2 linked regions of the Drosophila melanogaster genome follow. The protein of the gene in region 1 interacts with the protein of each later gene in a pairwise test. Each region holds a gene or a part of one and is shown on either strand. Other genes may lie near its edges. The genes, in order: danr and dac.

What was found.
Region 2: the proteins of danr (region 1) and dac interact in a two-hybrid assay, tested with the Drosophila melanogaster proteins (one study listed by BioGRID).

The regions. Positions count from the first base shown.
Region 1 is NT_033777.3:25,127,158-25,139,671, forward strand, and holds the start of danr (distal antenna-related), read left to right. Parts: upstream 1-10,914; 5' UTR 10,915-11,075; coding exon 11,076-12,335; 3' UTR 12,336-12,514. Other genes in the region: Mocs2A (molybdenum cofactor synthesis 2A), read right to left, coding at 1-189; Clbn (caliban), read left to right, coding at 654-709, 775-1,504, 1,576-2,453, 2,516-3,631, 3,690-3,888; Bili (Band4.1 inhibitor LRP interactor), read left to right, coding at 5,438-5,796, 5,859-6,610, 6,673-6,839, 6,895-7,241, 7,306-7,467, 7,535-7,723, 7,790-7,919, 7,993-8,091 and 2 more. UniProt on the Drosophila melanogaster protein: Probable transcription factor with a role in the retinal determination (RD) network. Regulates ato expression and is required for normal R8 induction and differentiation.
Region 2 is NT_033779.5:16,483,939-16,487,538, reverse strand, and holds the start of dac (dachshund), read left to right. Parts: upstream 1-1,540; 5' UTR 1,541-2,102; intron 2,103-2,731; 5' UTR 2,732-2,796; coding exon 2,797-3,600.

The sequences.
Region 1 (12,514 bases):
CTCGTTGTGGGCCAAAATCAAGTTATCCCGGATGGAGGTCAGGCCAAATTTGGACACCAGGTGGTCCAGCAGTTCGGTGGCAGTAATTTCAGTAGGAACTTCCACTGTCGACCGGGGAGTGTTTGCTAATTCACGGGATTTAGCAAAGAACAACACGTGCACGTTGACAACAGGTCCATCCGCATTCATATTTACAAATGAAGATTGGCGATGACACAGCAGTTCCATTTTCCGACTACCTATGTATCGATTTCTTATCGGAACGAAGTGGAATAGTCCACGGAAAGGGAAACAGCTGACTGAAACTTTATTAAATGCTTAATAACTTTTTAGATAAATCAAAGAAGCTTCTTACTCATTGCATAAACAATACAAATATTTAATACATAGTAATTATACAGCGAATTCATTCTGACAATCCGAATCATCAACAGCATACAATCGATATATTTTGTTTAAAGTTCGTCCATCGCAATTTACACCGATACTTAATTTCGCAAGTGAATAAAATTGTTATTATTCCCTATTAAACTAATTTAACTTATCTAACGTAGATAGCGAACTTGTGAATATTTAATGATAAGTTAAGTTGCCAGATAGATTCTTTTTTCTTCACTTTCCGTGTTGACATCGTCAACTTTCCATAAAGAACCATGAAGACACGTTTCAATACCTTCGATATAATCTGCGGAGTGGCGGAACTGCAAAAGTATGTAAAAAATCCGGATAATTCCGATGCCCAGGAATAATGGTACATCTACATTTATATTCCAGGCTGGTCGGCTGGCGAGTGAATCAGATCTATGACGTGGATAACAAGACCTACCTCTTCCGGATGCAAGGGACCGGTGCAGTGGAGAAGGTCACTCTGCTAATAGAATCTGGTACAAGATTCCATACCACTAGGTTCGAATGGCCCAAGAACATGGCTCCGTCCGGTTTCAGCATGAAGTTGAGGAAGCACTTGAAGAACAAGCGCCTGGAAAAGGTTCAACAGATGGGTAGCGATCGTATTGTTGACTTTCAGTTCGGTACCGGTGATGCCGCCTACCATGTTATTTTGGAGCTCTACGATCGTGGTAATGTGATCCTCACCGACTACGAGCTGACCACGTTATATATTTTGCGTCCGCATACGGAGGGCGAGAACCTGCGCTTCGCCATGCGCGAGAAATATCCCGTGGAACGGGCCAAACAGCCCACGAAGGAACTGGAACTGGAAGCTTTGGTTAAGCTGTTGGAAAATGCCAGGAACGGCGACTATTTGCGACAGATTCTAACACCCAACTTGGACTGTGGTCCGGCAGTTATAGAGCATGTTCTCCTCTCACACGGCTTGGACAATCACGTTATCAAAAAGGAAACAACGGAAGAAACGCCGGAGGCGGAGGACAAGCCGGAGAAGGGCGGTAAAAAGCAACGTAAGAAGCAACAGAATACGAAACTGGAACAGAAACCATTTGACATGGTTAATGACTTGCCAATTCTTCAGCAAGCAGTAAAGGTAAGAACAATATCGTGGAAATATTTATTATTGCTGTTAAAGTAAATAAAACGTTCTGTGCAATCTTTTAGGATGCTCAAGAGCTTATAGCTGAGGGAAATAGTGGAAAAAGTAAAGGCTACATTATTCAAGTTAAAGAGGAAAAGCCTACAGAGAATGGAACGGTGGAGTTTTTCTTTAGAAACATCGAATTTCATCCCTACCTCTTTATTCAATTCAAAAACTTTGAAAAGGCCACATTTGAGTCCTTTATGGAAGCCGTTGATGAATTTTACTCTACGCAAGAGTCGCAAAAGATTGACATGAAAACGCTACAGCAAGAGCGTGAGGCACTAAAAAAGCTGTCTAATGTCAAGAATGACCACGCAAAGCGTCTAGAGGAATTGACAAAAGTCCAAGATGTGGACAGAAAGAAAGCAGAGCTAATAACGTCCAATCAAAGTCTGGTGGATAATGCAATTCGGGCTGTTCAGTCAGCTATTGCCAGTCAATTATCCTGGCCGGATATTCACGAGCTTGTAAAGGAGGCACAGGCAAATGGCGATGCTGTAGCTAGTTCCATAAAGCAGCTTAAACTGGAGACTAATCATATATCCCTTATGCTCAGCGATCCATATGACAACGATGAAGACGACGATCTTAAGGATCCAGAGGTTACTGTTGTGGATGTCGACTTGGCTCTGTCTGCTTGGGCCAATGCCCGTCGATACTACGATATGAAACGTTCGGCTGCTCAAAAAGAAAAGAAAACTGTAGATGCTTCCCAAAAAGCTCTTAAGTCTGCGGAGCGCAAGACGCAGCAGACGCTCAAGGAAGTGAGGACTATATCGAACATAGTAAAGGCACGGAAAGTTTTCTGGTTTGAAAAGTTTTACTGGTTTATCAGCTCTGAAAATTATTTGGTTATTGGAGGAAGAGATGCCCAGCAGAACGAGCTTATTGTTAAAAGGTTTGCTTTCAATTACTTAAATAGATCGAAGTATTTATAATTATGACATGTTGTTATTCCAGATATATGCGTCCGAAAGACATTTATGTGCACGCTGAGATTCAAGGCGCCTCGAGTGTTATTATTCAAAATCCCACAGGAGAAGAAATACCTCCCAAAACGTTGCTAGAGGCAGGATCCATGGCTATTTCGTACAGTGTTGCTTGGGATGCCAAAGTGGTTACCAACTCGTACTGGGTAACAAGCGATCAGGTCAGCAAAACTGCACCGACTGGAGAGTACTTGGCAACGGGAAGCTTTATGATCAGAGGAAAGAAGAACTTCCTTCCCTCCTGCCACCTGACCATGGGTCTAAGTTTACTTTTCAAGTTGGAGGATAGCTTCATTGAGCGCCATTTGGGAGAGCGTAAAGTTAGAAGCCTGGAGGATGATCAAATAGATCCAAATGTTAAAGAAAACGAAGTTGAACATGATCTTTTGTCGGATAATGAAGACGCTGATTCAAATATAAATCTATCGGAACCAAGCTCCAATACCGAAATTACAGCTTTTCCCAATACAGAAGTTAAGATTGAGCACGATACTGGTCGCATTATAGTCAGATCCGACTCCGTAAATCCAGAGATTGAAGAGACTAAAGAGAGTGAAGTTGTCCTAGACAAAATTTTGAAAAAGACGGACGATGAAGAAACGACCATTATTTTGGCTGGTCCAAGTCGTAAAAAGCAAGTAAGTGCCAAAAAGACCAAGGAAGACAAGGCACGGGCGAAACAAGAAGCTGCCAAGCAGGAAGTCCCTCCTGTGAGTAGTGAACCAAAAAATCCATCTCAAGTTAAGAGAGGTCAGAAGGGAAAGCTCAAGAAAATGAAGCAAAAATACAAGGATCAAGATGATGAAGAGCGGGAAATTCGCATGATGATTCTCAAGTCATCGGGTAAGGAAAAGCCACAGGCCAGTGCCGATAAAGTGGTGGAGAAAAGTGAGTCAACCAAGGAGTACGTGAAGCCAGAAAAAAGTGCAGCTCCCAAAAACCCAGTGGAACTGGACGATGCTGATGAAGTGCCCGTCGGTGGGGATGTGGATGTACTCAACAGTCTGACTGGACAGCCGCACGAAGGAGATGAGCTGCTGTTCGCGATTCCAGTCGTTGCTCCCTATCAGGCTTTGCAAAACTACAAGTAGGCTATACTGAAAGTTCGCATAAAATGTTTATTGTAAATGTGATATCCTTTTTAGGTTTAAAGTAAAGCTCACCCCAGGTACGGGAAAAAGAGGAAAGGCGGCGAAACTAGCACTTAATATCTTCGCAAAGGAGAAGAGCTGCAGTGCTCGTGAGAAGGACTTACTGAAAAGTATAAAGGAAGAGTCGTTGGCCAGGAATATACCAGGAAAGGTCAAGCTATCGGCCCCGCAACTTCAGAAGTATCACAAATAACTAAATCAAATGTATGCAAAATGTGTTGAGCCATAACTTAAGGAAGTGTTAAAAATGCTTTAAAAAAGTAATGCCAGTTGATACAATAAAAGAGAATGTTTACGGAACTGAATATATATGTTGATTCCTTATCAAAGAGATATATATATATATGTATATATTGATTTTGTTAACGGTTGAAACTGGCTCTTATCGATAGTCTTGTTGCTGGGCGAACTTTAAGCTGGGATTTTGGGGCGCATGCGCCTCATATGGGGCCCGAGTTTGCATGTGTTTGTTTACTTCGGTTGGCTGTGTTCGAAAGTGGTGTTGTATAAGTAGATATTTTGGTGCTAAGTCGCCTGTTTTGGCATTTTGTGTACTAAAAAGTTCGGGAACTTCTCGTCATCATTCGATTCGTCGTGAATTGCCACAGTAAAAATCTACACTAGCCTGTTTAAAACAATGAATTCCTCCGGAGCCCGATGAAAAAGCAAACAAGCCCGAAGGCAGCAAATCACATAGCTTCTCGCAACCAAAGACAATACAGCGGAAAATGTATCTTTCGTGCGAAATCCGTGTAAAACATTTTTTCCAACCCAACCGTTTGCGTGCCGTGGAGGATTTCACCGATATGTAGATACATTTAGGCAAAGACGGAGTGCTTCCCAACGAAAGGAAACCATTGCAAAAGGAATAAAATTAAAGTGCTGAGGCTATGGTTCGGTGAAAAACTATGGCCTTCAAAGTCCCACCCAGTTAGAAGGATATGTGCGTGTGTGTCTGTAAGTGTGTGTTAGTGTATGTGAGTGTGTGTGTGTATGCATACATATGAAGGCATGTATTGATTAAGGACACAGCACTTTTTTCTCAGCCGTGTGAGCTGAACTGAATTAACATACAGTGTTTACGTGCCTCCAATTATAAAGTTAAAAGTTATGCCCCCGCTGACATACTTGCAAGCACTCGAATTAGCATGACGTACAAAAAAAGTGCCCATATTCGCATTCGCATTCGCACATATAGACCTTCGTGTAGGTATGTACGAGCATGTGTGTATACAGCATACCCTCTATTGCACCTGCTCGAAAAATCAAATATCAGAACTGAGGACCATTTTGTTATTTTAAAACAGAATATCAAGGCATACAGAAAGTTTGTGCGATGGAAGTAAATGAATTAAATGACCGTTTTTATACAAAATCCCAAACATTATAAACGATGAAATTACTATCCCCCATCTAAAATATATTTTATCTCATTTATTTCTAAAATTTAAATAAACATACATGAAAGAGTATGAATTTACATTTCAGAAATGCCAACTGATAGCTAATAAATTGCTTATAATGGACTTTTGTGGAATATTTGCAACTGCCAGATAAAATGAGGGCTATCCTGATTGCTCAAGCGAACCCCGAAAAGGCGTCGACAGTAACTAATCATATTTGTTAGCAGCAGATCTACTAAAACAGCAGTAAGGTTCACTTAACTGGCATTAAATGAATATGTGAACGATTCCTTAATAAAATATATTTTATCCTATTAATATTACTTGAATTTTAAGAACATGGAGCCAAATCATTATTACTGCCGGAGCGCCATGCAGCAGAATCCCTCGACTTCCATTCCCCAACATGCGTCGAACAAACTCAACTATGGGATGAACGCTGGCCAGGATTATGTGACATGTAGCTCCGGCCAATCGCAATCGGGCTACAGCTCCAAGGACTTGGTTCCGCGCAGTGGGAACAGCAAAACGCTCGGCGGGAATGGCAACATGGGGAGTCCGTACGGAGGATCTGTGTGCAGCAACAGTGGCCAATGCAGCAAGAATACTGCCAACGCTGGGAACTATATCAACATAATGACTGTTCCACTGGGAACACTGCAGTATAATCGAAAAAAGCTATCTACACAAGACTACGAGTGCGTTTGCTATACCAAGTTCAACGAATTTATGCATTATAATATTCGTAATTACTTTTCAGATCGCATTTATATTACAACACTACGGATGTGAAGTGTCGCGATGATTACTATATAGCCAACAATGCCGCAGCAGCAATACCGCAGCACCAAGCTCATCAACCGCATCAGCAGCCGCATCAGCACCAACATCCGCAGCATCAGCAGCAGCATCAGCAACACCAGCAACACCAACAGCACCAGCAACATCAGCAACATCTGCACCAGCAGCAGCAGCAACAGGCAAACTTTCTCCACATCCAACAATCGCTACAACACAACCACCAATTGAGCCACCCAGAACCAATCCATCAGTTGCCCCAATTACAGGGCACGGTGGCCGATCCACCAGATGCCTTCGACAACTGTGCGATCTTCCCGAGCGCCGGCGGCAGCAGCAACGGAAGTGGACGCGTGGCAGCCACTCAAACCCATCAGAACCCATCCGGTGTGGTCACGTGCGACCAGCAGGTACCCGTGTCCCTGGGCTCGGTGAATATGCCCGTTCCCCCAATCATGTATACCGTGCATCGTGTGGTGACCACAGCTCAGATCCAAACGGCAGCGGGCAGCACCTTCGCCTCGTCGGCTAGTGTGTCCAGTGTGGTCAGCACTGGCCAGAATGATGGTGACTGCCTGTCGCCGGCACAGGTGTCCTCCGCCATGGCCGCCTCTGGAAATGCTTCCTGTCTGGGTGGATTACCCGACATGGGCGCCAACATGATGAGCAATGCAAGTGCACTTTGTCCCCTTTCCGACCTGAGGAGCCCATCCGGTAAGAGAAACTAAATTGCAATGTTTAGTGTTATGCTATTTGTTTATCTATAACATTTTTAGGAGTGCTCACCAATTCCTCATACATGCCACAACATCACAAGTGCAACAATGGGAATGATGCCCAATCCAATCCCGCAATCCAAAAACGCCTGATGGCGACCAGCTCAACTTCGAACTTCGCGACTGCCGGCAAAGCTGCTTCCAATTTAACCCGTGCTCTCCAAAATGTAAGATACATTCCATTCATTTTCAGCCACTTGAATGCGATTCTTTACTTCATAGGTGATCCCCACATGCGTGTATCTTATGTCCCGGGTGGCGGTGCACATGGAGATCGAGGGCACTGCCCAGTGTCCATCGCAAGTGATGTTGGCAGCCGCCTTGGGATGCGAGGAGCTGGGCATATCCAATAAGTTGCTGGCACAGAGCGTGTTCGGATTGTGGATGACAAGTGCTTTACTGGAGATGCAGCTGAAGGCCCACCACTGCCCCTACATAGTGCGAGTTGCGTGGCCCAATCTCCTCCAGAAGTTCAGCAACAGCAGTCCCAGTGATCGAAAGTTCGATGAGCCCATGATAGTTTTGAAGCGGAATGTCTTCTTCTCGAAGCGAGATGAGGAGAAAATAAAGTAATACCGATCAATAACTTTAGATTAACCCATTTCAAACTTGATATTATGATATCATTTTCAGGGATCATCGGATCTTGGAGCTCCTCTATGAAGAGGCCAGAAACAATGTGCTGACAGGCAGATATATCATGGAGCCGGTGCATTCGCTAATGTTGGGTGGCATTCAAGCGCGCATCGAACTGGGTCCTTACAACTCCCACACCCATACAATAGGATTCTTTCGGCAAGTCTAATACTAAACTAATAAAACACGCCAAGTTCTAACTTTGTCTGCTAATTTGATCATTTAGGGAGAACCAAGCTAGATTTTTGCCTCCTCACGTGGCCAAGAGCTCCACTTGGCTGTGGCTACCGATCAGTCAGAAGAATTCTGCGGAAGTGAAGCTTCTGGAGCAATTCAAGCGAGTGCCCCAGACGGCCACCACACGAAAGTTGATGAGGAAATACCTGGAATTCTGCTGGGCTCTGCCATTCTATGGGTAGGCTTCTGATATATATCTTACAATATATATTTAATAATTAATTTTTTTATTTCATGCTCACAGCGCCGCATATTTTCATGGCCAAATAGAACAACCTGTTAGGGGAATTATGGCACTGGTCAACCAAAAGGACATGGAGGTTTTGGTCGCTGTCAATGAGAGAGGGGTTTTCGTAATAGATCCGTACGAATGTGTAAGTTATTTTATATTAAAATAACGTATAGTTTTAATCCGCACTGTTTAATGACTCACCACTTTTGATGCAGACCCTCTTGCTGGGATTGCGATACGAGGATTTGTCGTGGGATTACGCAAAGCCAAGTGCAAGTGATGATCCCGAATGCCTCACTTGTATCTTCCTGCAGGTACTTCGCTGTGTTTTCGCTGTTATAAAAACAAGATCTTAGAATCATTTACTTTGCAGTTCGATGCCGTCGAGAACGGAATACAAGTGTCCAAACTGATGCAAATATTTTCAAAGCAAGCTGCCATGATAGACGCACTTATATCACACTTTACAGATCAAATCAGAAACAAAAAACAGGAGGGTAACACTCAAGAACCTTTTCACGATGGTAAGCCACATACTATCAGCTCTATATGTCATAATCAAATCCAATTCTGATTACTAACCCTTTTCAGAGCCAAATCCTATTCAAAATAATGGAAATGGAGTCTTATGCAATAAGCTGTCTCGATTAACTTTGGCCACCTTCGATGAAGAGGGAGGTCGTTGCATTGGGCAAATGGGATCATTATCTATAAGCTATTAACATTTGTTACTAACGATAAAGTAAATTTAAGTTAAGGGGTGTTGAATAAAGTTCGCGCATATATTCACGAATTGTTGATCGATTTCCATAAATATACTCACAAGTAAATTTTTAGCAAACGGAATCTTCACACTCACAGTCACCTTCATAGCGTATTCCATTAACTTTAATTGTTTTCTAATTTTACAAAATGTCGGTGATCATTATTCGAATTTTAATGAATGGTACAATAAGTTACTTAAGACTTACACTAAGTTACAGAATATATCGCTGAAGGCACTGGCAAACGAAGATTCCATTATATCCACGCACCCATCAGATATTTTATTTGCCGCCAAAGAGTTAATATTATTTATTTATTATTAAATTGATTGCATTTATTCCCATTGATGCCCCCGAATAGTTATCTCTTTTTAGTTTAAAGTTAAGATAAGGCATGCAGTATATATTAAGATATATACTTATATGGGTATGTGCATTTGACGTATGCGTTCAGAATTAGTTTAATAAGCCTTCGACTGAAACAAATTATGTATATAATAACAATAAAGTGTATGTACAAAATGTAAGGGCTAACTGCCAACATAGGTTATGTATATATTTAAATTTGTATGTATGTATAAATTGAGACTTAAAATAAATACCGTTTCCTCATACTTATACTGCAAATACTTATAAATCTAATGCAATTTGATTTTTCCATTAAATGTGCACTTATTTTGACTTTATGTATCAGAAAGAGTATCTCAATGCGGTATGTCAACAAATTGTTAATTTTAATCGATAATTACGATTTGAGTACGCTTGCAATCGTTTATTTATTGTGTAGGTTTCATATTTAATTTAAAACAATCCATTCATTTTAAAATACAGTTTTGTGACAAATAAACTTGAATGAAAATTGTTTAATAATAAATAATGATATAGTTATAACATACAGCAAAACGGAAATTAATCAATACAAGTAGATGTAATCTAATAAATTATAGTTAATAGAAAATTTATTTAAATATGTGTAAATCAAACATAAATACTAAAGGCTACTTACTTTCTAAACTGTGTCTTTTAATAACACAATAAAAAAGTATTAAAAAAGGGATGTGTGATATTATTTAAGGAGAATATTGAACGGATTAGCATTTCTAAAATGATTATTTTAAAGTGTACTTAGCCAATTTTCGCAATTTATAATATGATTTGGTATATTTACCAGGCTGAAAGCTTTTAAAGCAGTTCTTCTTCTAGAATGCTGATAGTTTTCTCGAGATTGAAAGCTTTTGTTATTTTTTCTTTAGTGGACGGCGCAGACGCATTAATAGTTTAAACAATAATTAAACGACGAGATTCATTGAGACATTATAATCCATTTTAATAACAATAACAGTGTTTGACAGCATATACATAGTTCTTTGGATTAGGGGTAGAATCAAAGAATTACAATTAGAAAGGTGTTCCAACAAAGGTGTTATGTACATTACGTACGTTTTTAGTATACAGTCGCAATCAAAAAATTAGAAGTGATCCATAAATAATATATTTATATGAATTACATCGTTTTATGAAGGTTAAAACAATTTTGTGTGCGAATAATCATCAGCAAAGAACTATGCAAGTTCTCCATATAAGGTATGTGCTATTCTTTTATATTATTGTACTTCGTGAGCACTTATACATATAAATAAAAATATTTAAAAAAACGCAGTGAATTCAAAACTTGTGTTAATAAGTTTAGCCTGATCACCTTTTAGTCTATATATTTTCTATTATCTTCATAAGATAAGGGTGCAATGAAAATATTTACCACAAATAACGGACAAAGAGTACTCATGGAAATTAGTGCAAACACACAGATGGAGAGTGCAAATAATATAGAGTGGAATTGTGTTATTCTCGGTAGATTCGCAACCCAAAAGTGCAACCAGGTCCACGTCCGTATCAGATCCGCTCACGCACATGCGAATGCGAGAAGGTTGGCCAAATACACGCACACACACTTTCGCAGGAGGGAATGTTTATGGGAGGTAAATAACTGGTTTTTATATAAACACACGGGCACATACACACACACACACGCAGCCACGTGGAGGAGCCGATTTGGAAATGTGCATCCTGCATGCTGAATATCTAGATCCACAACACCACCACACACATACGCAGCCCGCGAAGAGGGACGCGAATGATGGTCAGGACATCAAACCCGTTAAGAGAGCCGAACAGAGCGAATTTCGTGAGCAGGACATGAGTAACAAGTTGTTGCACTGGTGGGTGGTGGGTGCGCGCGCGAGAGAGAGAGAGAGAGAAAGGTGAGAGTGGCGCTTTGCTCCGATTGGTCGAGAAAAAGCGAGAAAAACGTCATGCCGTTCTCTTCGCCGCAAAATCATCGGATCATCTCGGCGGTCGCCGTTCGCCTGTCGCCGTTCGCAGTTCGCAGCTCGCCTTTCGCGGAATCGGATTCACAATCACATCCTTCTGCGAGTTCGAGGAGTGCACACCGGTGGTCGCATCCGCAAAGTCCGCGCTTCGAAACCGCTATCGTAATCGCAATCGCTATCGCCAGCGCAACCAGAAATAGAACCATGGATATCTCCGCCTACCAGCACATGAACATCCGGATGAGCACGCGCGGCAAGCGTCCTCTGAGGAACCTCACGCCCAACGACAAGGTGCGTGCCATCCAGCGCATCCACAATGGTGAAACCAAGGCGAGTGTGTCGCGGGACATCGGAGTGCCGGAGTCCACGCTGCGTGGCTGGTGCAAGAACGAGCAGAAGCTGCGCTTCATGTGCCGCCAGCTGGGCCCCGATCACCTGGGTCTCGACACGCCACCGGAAAAGCGCGCCAAGTTCGAGCTGCAGCTCCAGCTGCCACCGAAGTTCGTGGCACTGCCTCCAAACTACGAGGAGCTGGGCTTCGGTGCACTGCCCTACAGTCCAGCCGATTACCCAGTGCAAAATGAATCCCTGCTGGAGAAGCTTAGCCTTGTGGAATTTGTAAAAAAGAACGGTGGATTGCATCCGGAGGGTGCACTGCATCCGGGTCAGGCCGGCGTGATGGACTACTCCAACAACATGCTGCACCAGCTGAATCTTCTGGCCCTGCTCAACTCCAAACTCACCCCACAGACTGCCGATGTCCTGGTAGATGCACAGCCGAAATCAGAGGACAACAAAGTGATTGATTCGCCCGCTGCTTCCGAGGATTACAGCAAAAACAATTACCCCTTGCTGAGTGTTAAGAACTGGGCCAAGGATCCGGCCAAGCGGGTGAACTCCGCCAATCAGCCGGAGCAAGTGAACGATAAGAACAACAATGCCCTGGAGGCCAACAGTTCCGCACCACAAGCTCTTGTCACGGAGCAGGCGAAGACTCCCATGTTCTCGGACACCACAATGCCCCTACTGCCAGCACCCTTCCCGAATCCTGCGGATCTAGCGCCTGTGATAGCACCAGTGACTCCGGCAAACGCCCCGCCCACTGGAACCGATAACCAGGGAGCGGCTCTGCTCGACTGGTGCAAGCTCTTCAATGCCAGTTTGAACTTCCTGGCCTTCGCTGCGGCCGCAGCCTCCATGCAGCCCGGCGGCGGAGGACCAGGTGGACCCAGCTACAATCCCAACCAAATGGCCAGCGGCGGATCGGAGCCGGATCTCGAAACATATCCTTTCAACGAGGCGCTACTAAAGCGACTGAGTCCACTGGCGCACAGTGAGGCCTCCAACGAAAGCTACTGCGACAGCGAGCCGGAGGATCTGTCCGTGCGCTCCTGCGCCTCCAAGGCGTCCAGCAGATCCCACACTCCCGACAAGAGCGTCGGGTCCAGCGACGCCGAACAGTAGACACCCTACATTATAGCATAGTTGTAGTTGTAGTTCATAGTGTAAATACATCCATTTTTATTGTTATTAGCCACCTTTAGTATTAATGAAACTCGAATCATTTCGCAATGCAAATGCCATTTGTACTTATCAATTAACGTATTAATATCACTGCAACAGGTATTAATAGCTCAGCATAC
Region 2 (3,600 bases), on another chromosome or scaffold:
TAAAATGTCACAGTTTAGAAAAAAAGTAGCGTTACATATTAATTTTCATATCTAATATAATCTTATAACTATTTTTTAATGAAACAAACCGATGTAAAAATAAAATATTTACATTACAATAATTATTGTGTTTTAAATTCTTCTTTAAAGCCCGAAAATATTTTCTAAAAGCTGTTGGAAATCCACATTTGCAATCAATTTAATATTAAATGGTTGCTGTCACCTAAAAGACAGTGGGTGAGGAAATCCACAAAAGAAAAGCCCCAAACGAAACGAACAAGAAAAATTCATACGTCATGTGCAAACACAATACATAAAGACGTATTCCATTCCCATATAGAAAGAAATATGTACATGGAACTCTCAAATGGAGAGAACGGAATGCGATTGGTTCGGCGACGGAATGGCAATCGTTATGGAGAAGAATCGCAGAAGGCGAAACGAAGACAAATAATAGAAAAATGACCGAGCTCTCAGATACATTGTACATAAACATATAGAGGTGGCAAAGGTGCGATGCCAGAATTTATAAGCAATGCTATTTATAAGAACCCGAAAAACGAACGCCCCTCAGGCGAAAAAAAACCCCATTATCGCAATATGTGTAAGTGGAAGAAAGATGCCCTGCCATAGTGCTGCTCTCCTCCGAATCAGCAACACAAAAAGAAATACAAATAAACGGGACTCGAATGGAAACGAATGGGAAACGGAAAACGGTTGACAAAAAAAATCAAAGCTTGGGACGGAAAGAGATAGCAACACTGCCCCGAAAAGTATAATTCGTTGAAAGTTTGTCATTTACTTTTAATTGAAATTAAAATGCTTTTTGTCAAAGACAGCTGCGCAAACTCGAAGTAAAGCTATTTTTTTTTACTTTTCTTCTCTGGCAATGCATTTATTATAATTTACTTTGCAACACAAAATGCCAAAACAATTGTCATTTGTTTATATAAGGCGTCGCCCATGGGGGCGAGCGAGAGCGCAAACATGTACGACTGGCTATGCAAATATGCTGCTTTCTCGCTCGCTCGTGTTTATTGGTTGCAGCCCACCTGAGCGTGCGACAGAGATGGCGAGATGGTGTGAGAGAGAGGGCTCAGACTGAAACGAAATGAAATTGAAATGAAAAACGTTTTTTTTTCCAAAGAGAGAGAGCGGGAGGATTTGAAGAACACAACACGCACAAACGAATTGAAAAAATAAATAAAACGAATGCAAGAGAGAGAGAGCGATTACGTTTGTCATTGTATTTTCGGGGTTGCACACAGAAATATACACAGATGCAAACACACCGATCAATCGCACATACCACTCCCCTTTTTGGCCTGGTATTGGTGTAATGCGAGACGTGGACGGGCAACAGACATTCGTATTCGTACTCGTATTCGTATTCTGGTTTTGCACAATCGCAGATACAGATACACCAGCTCGCTCTCACAGGCACAGACACACACATACAAGCACACTCGTCTCGGCCGACCGCGCTGCCGGCGTCGCTGCCACGAAAATCCGAAAGGAATCGAATTGAAACTCGCCTTTCATTACGAATTTGTCATTCGCAAGAGAAGGTAATGCAATAAAACTTTTGCGCGCGCATTTCTCTCAGTACATAACGGTAGCGCTTCGTGTGTACGTACGTACGTACGTGTGTGTGGGTGGGCTAAAAAAATAGCACTCGTTAGCGCCCGCTCACTCGCTCACTCGCAGTCGTCGCCTCGCGCCGTCTCGCTCTCAGTCGATTCCCATTCGAATGCAATTCGTTTCGTTGATTTCTCCGAACGAGAGGGGGAAGAGGAACCAGTCGAAGGCGAAGAAGCAGAGGCAGCGACGCCACCGTCGCCGTCGCAGCGGAGTAGCTGCCATCTCTCAATCTCTGAGTGACAATCCGTCGGTACGGTACTCGAAAACGGACACAGCTCCGGTTTCCAAAATTCCAGTACGAAAACGGTTATTCGAACTCGATTAACACAAGCGGGCAATCGGAATAAATAACTTGAAATATTCAGAGTATATATTTCACAGCGAAATTCAAAAAGCAAAGTGCGCGAGTGTCTTGTGTCAGTGATGTTGAGTTTATAAATTACTTTTAGACCTCCTTAAAGGTAAATCTATGTTCTATATCGAATTATTCAAATAAAGCTGACAATAGGTATATTTATGCAAATTGGCAGTAAGGATCCAAATTAGCTTCATTGCCTTGTTTTTCCCAAAACTTAATTAAAGCAAAGTTTGCAAAGCAATAGTTCTGTTGATAAAGGATTATTTATGGGGGGTATTAGAAGATAATCGGACTTTAAATGTCTGAAAGGAAACTTTTCTATTTTCTGTTAGTTCTCTATATTTCTTTGTAAGTAAAATGTTTGTTAGGATATTAATTTACAAAAAATATTTAGCAATATAAACTTGTAGCTACCATATAACTAACTAAACTGGCTCAAAAATAGATTTTAATAAATAGGAGCATAGCTGAGCCTAATACAAATCCTAAATCGTTTGTAAATTTTTTGAAGGTCTGCATTTAAATTTGATGTTATAAAACTTACAGAAGTATTAAAAATGTAAAGCCAATAATAAGCGGATAGGAATATACGAGACACGCTCACTTAGAATTTGCATATAGAAGCCTAATAAATAATTAAAAATGAATTAAGAGTTCATTAATTATTTATCTTCCTCTCACCATCTATTTTCTATTTCTCCCTTACTTTGTGTCAAATTTTTGTCACGATAGAAAAAACGTCAAATTAACGAATCGATTAAAAAGTAAATAAACAAAAGTGTCGGCCATGATGAAGTATGGATTCTGTGACAAGTGAACAGAGTGAAAATAACAACAATAAAGCGGGCGCAATAAATAACAATATTAATAGTGGTATTGAAAGAGCCGCGGGCAATATGAACACCACCGCCATGTTGATGCATCACCAGCAGCAGCAGCAGGCAGCCGCAGCAGCGGCAGCCGCAGCAGCCCAGCAGCAACAGCAGCAGCACAATGGACGCGACGGTAGCAACAGTTCGCGTGGAGCCAACGAGGATCGTCCAAATGGACGGAGCTCGCACACAGGACGAGGATCCAGTTGCTCACCGGCCAGTTCACCAAGTCGCCATCCCAGTGCCGTCAGTCCGGTGAGCTCCCTCAACCACTCCATGATGCAGCAGATGCAGCAACAGCAGCAACAACAGCAGCAGCAACAGCAGCAGCAGCAACACCATCAGCTCAGCCCCCCGCCACATGGAATGCCATCGGGCAACGGACTGCCGACGGGCCTACCGCCCAGAATGCCCCATGGACTGCCGCCCCATTCGCTGGGGCTCCTCAACTCCCTGCAGATGATGCACCATGCCTCCCCCTTGGAACTGATGGCCGCCGCCCATCACCATGTGCCGCCAAGGTCGTACAACTCACCGCCGCCGATCTCCACCTCGGATCCCAGTGCCAATGAGTGCAAGCTGGTGGAGTACCGGGGTCAGAAGGTCGCCGCATTCATAATTAGCAACGAAACGATGCTCTGCCTGCCGCAGGCCTTCGAGCTCTTCCTGAAGCACTTGGTCGGCGGTCTGCATACGGTTTATACCAAACTAAAGCGCCTTGACATCGTA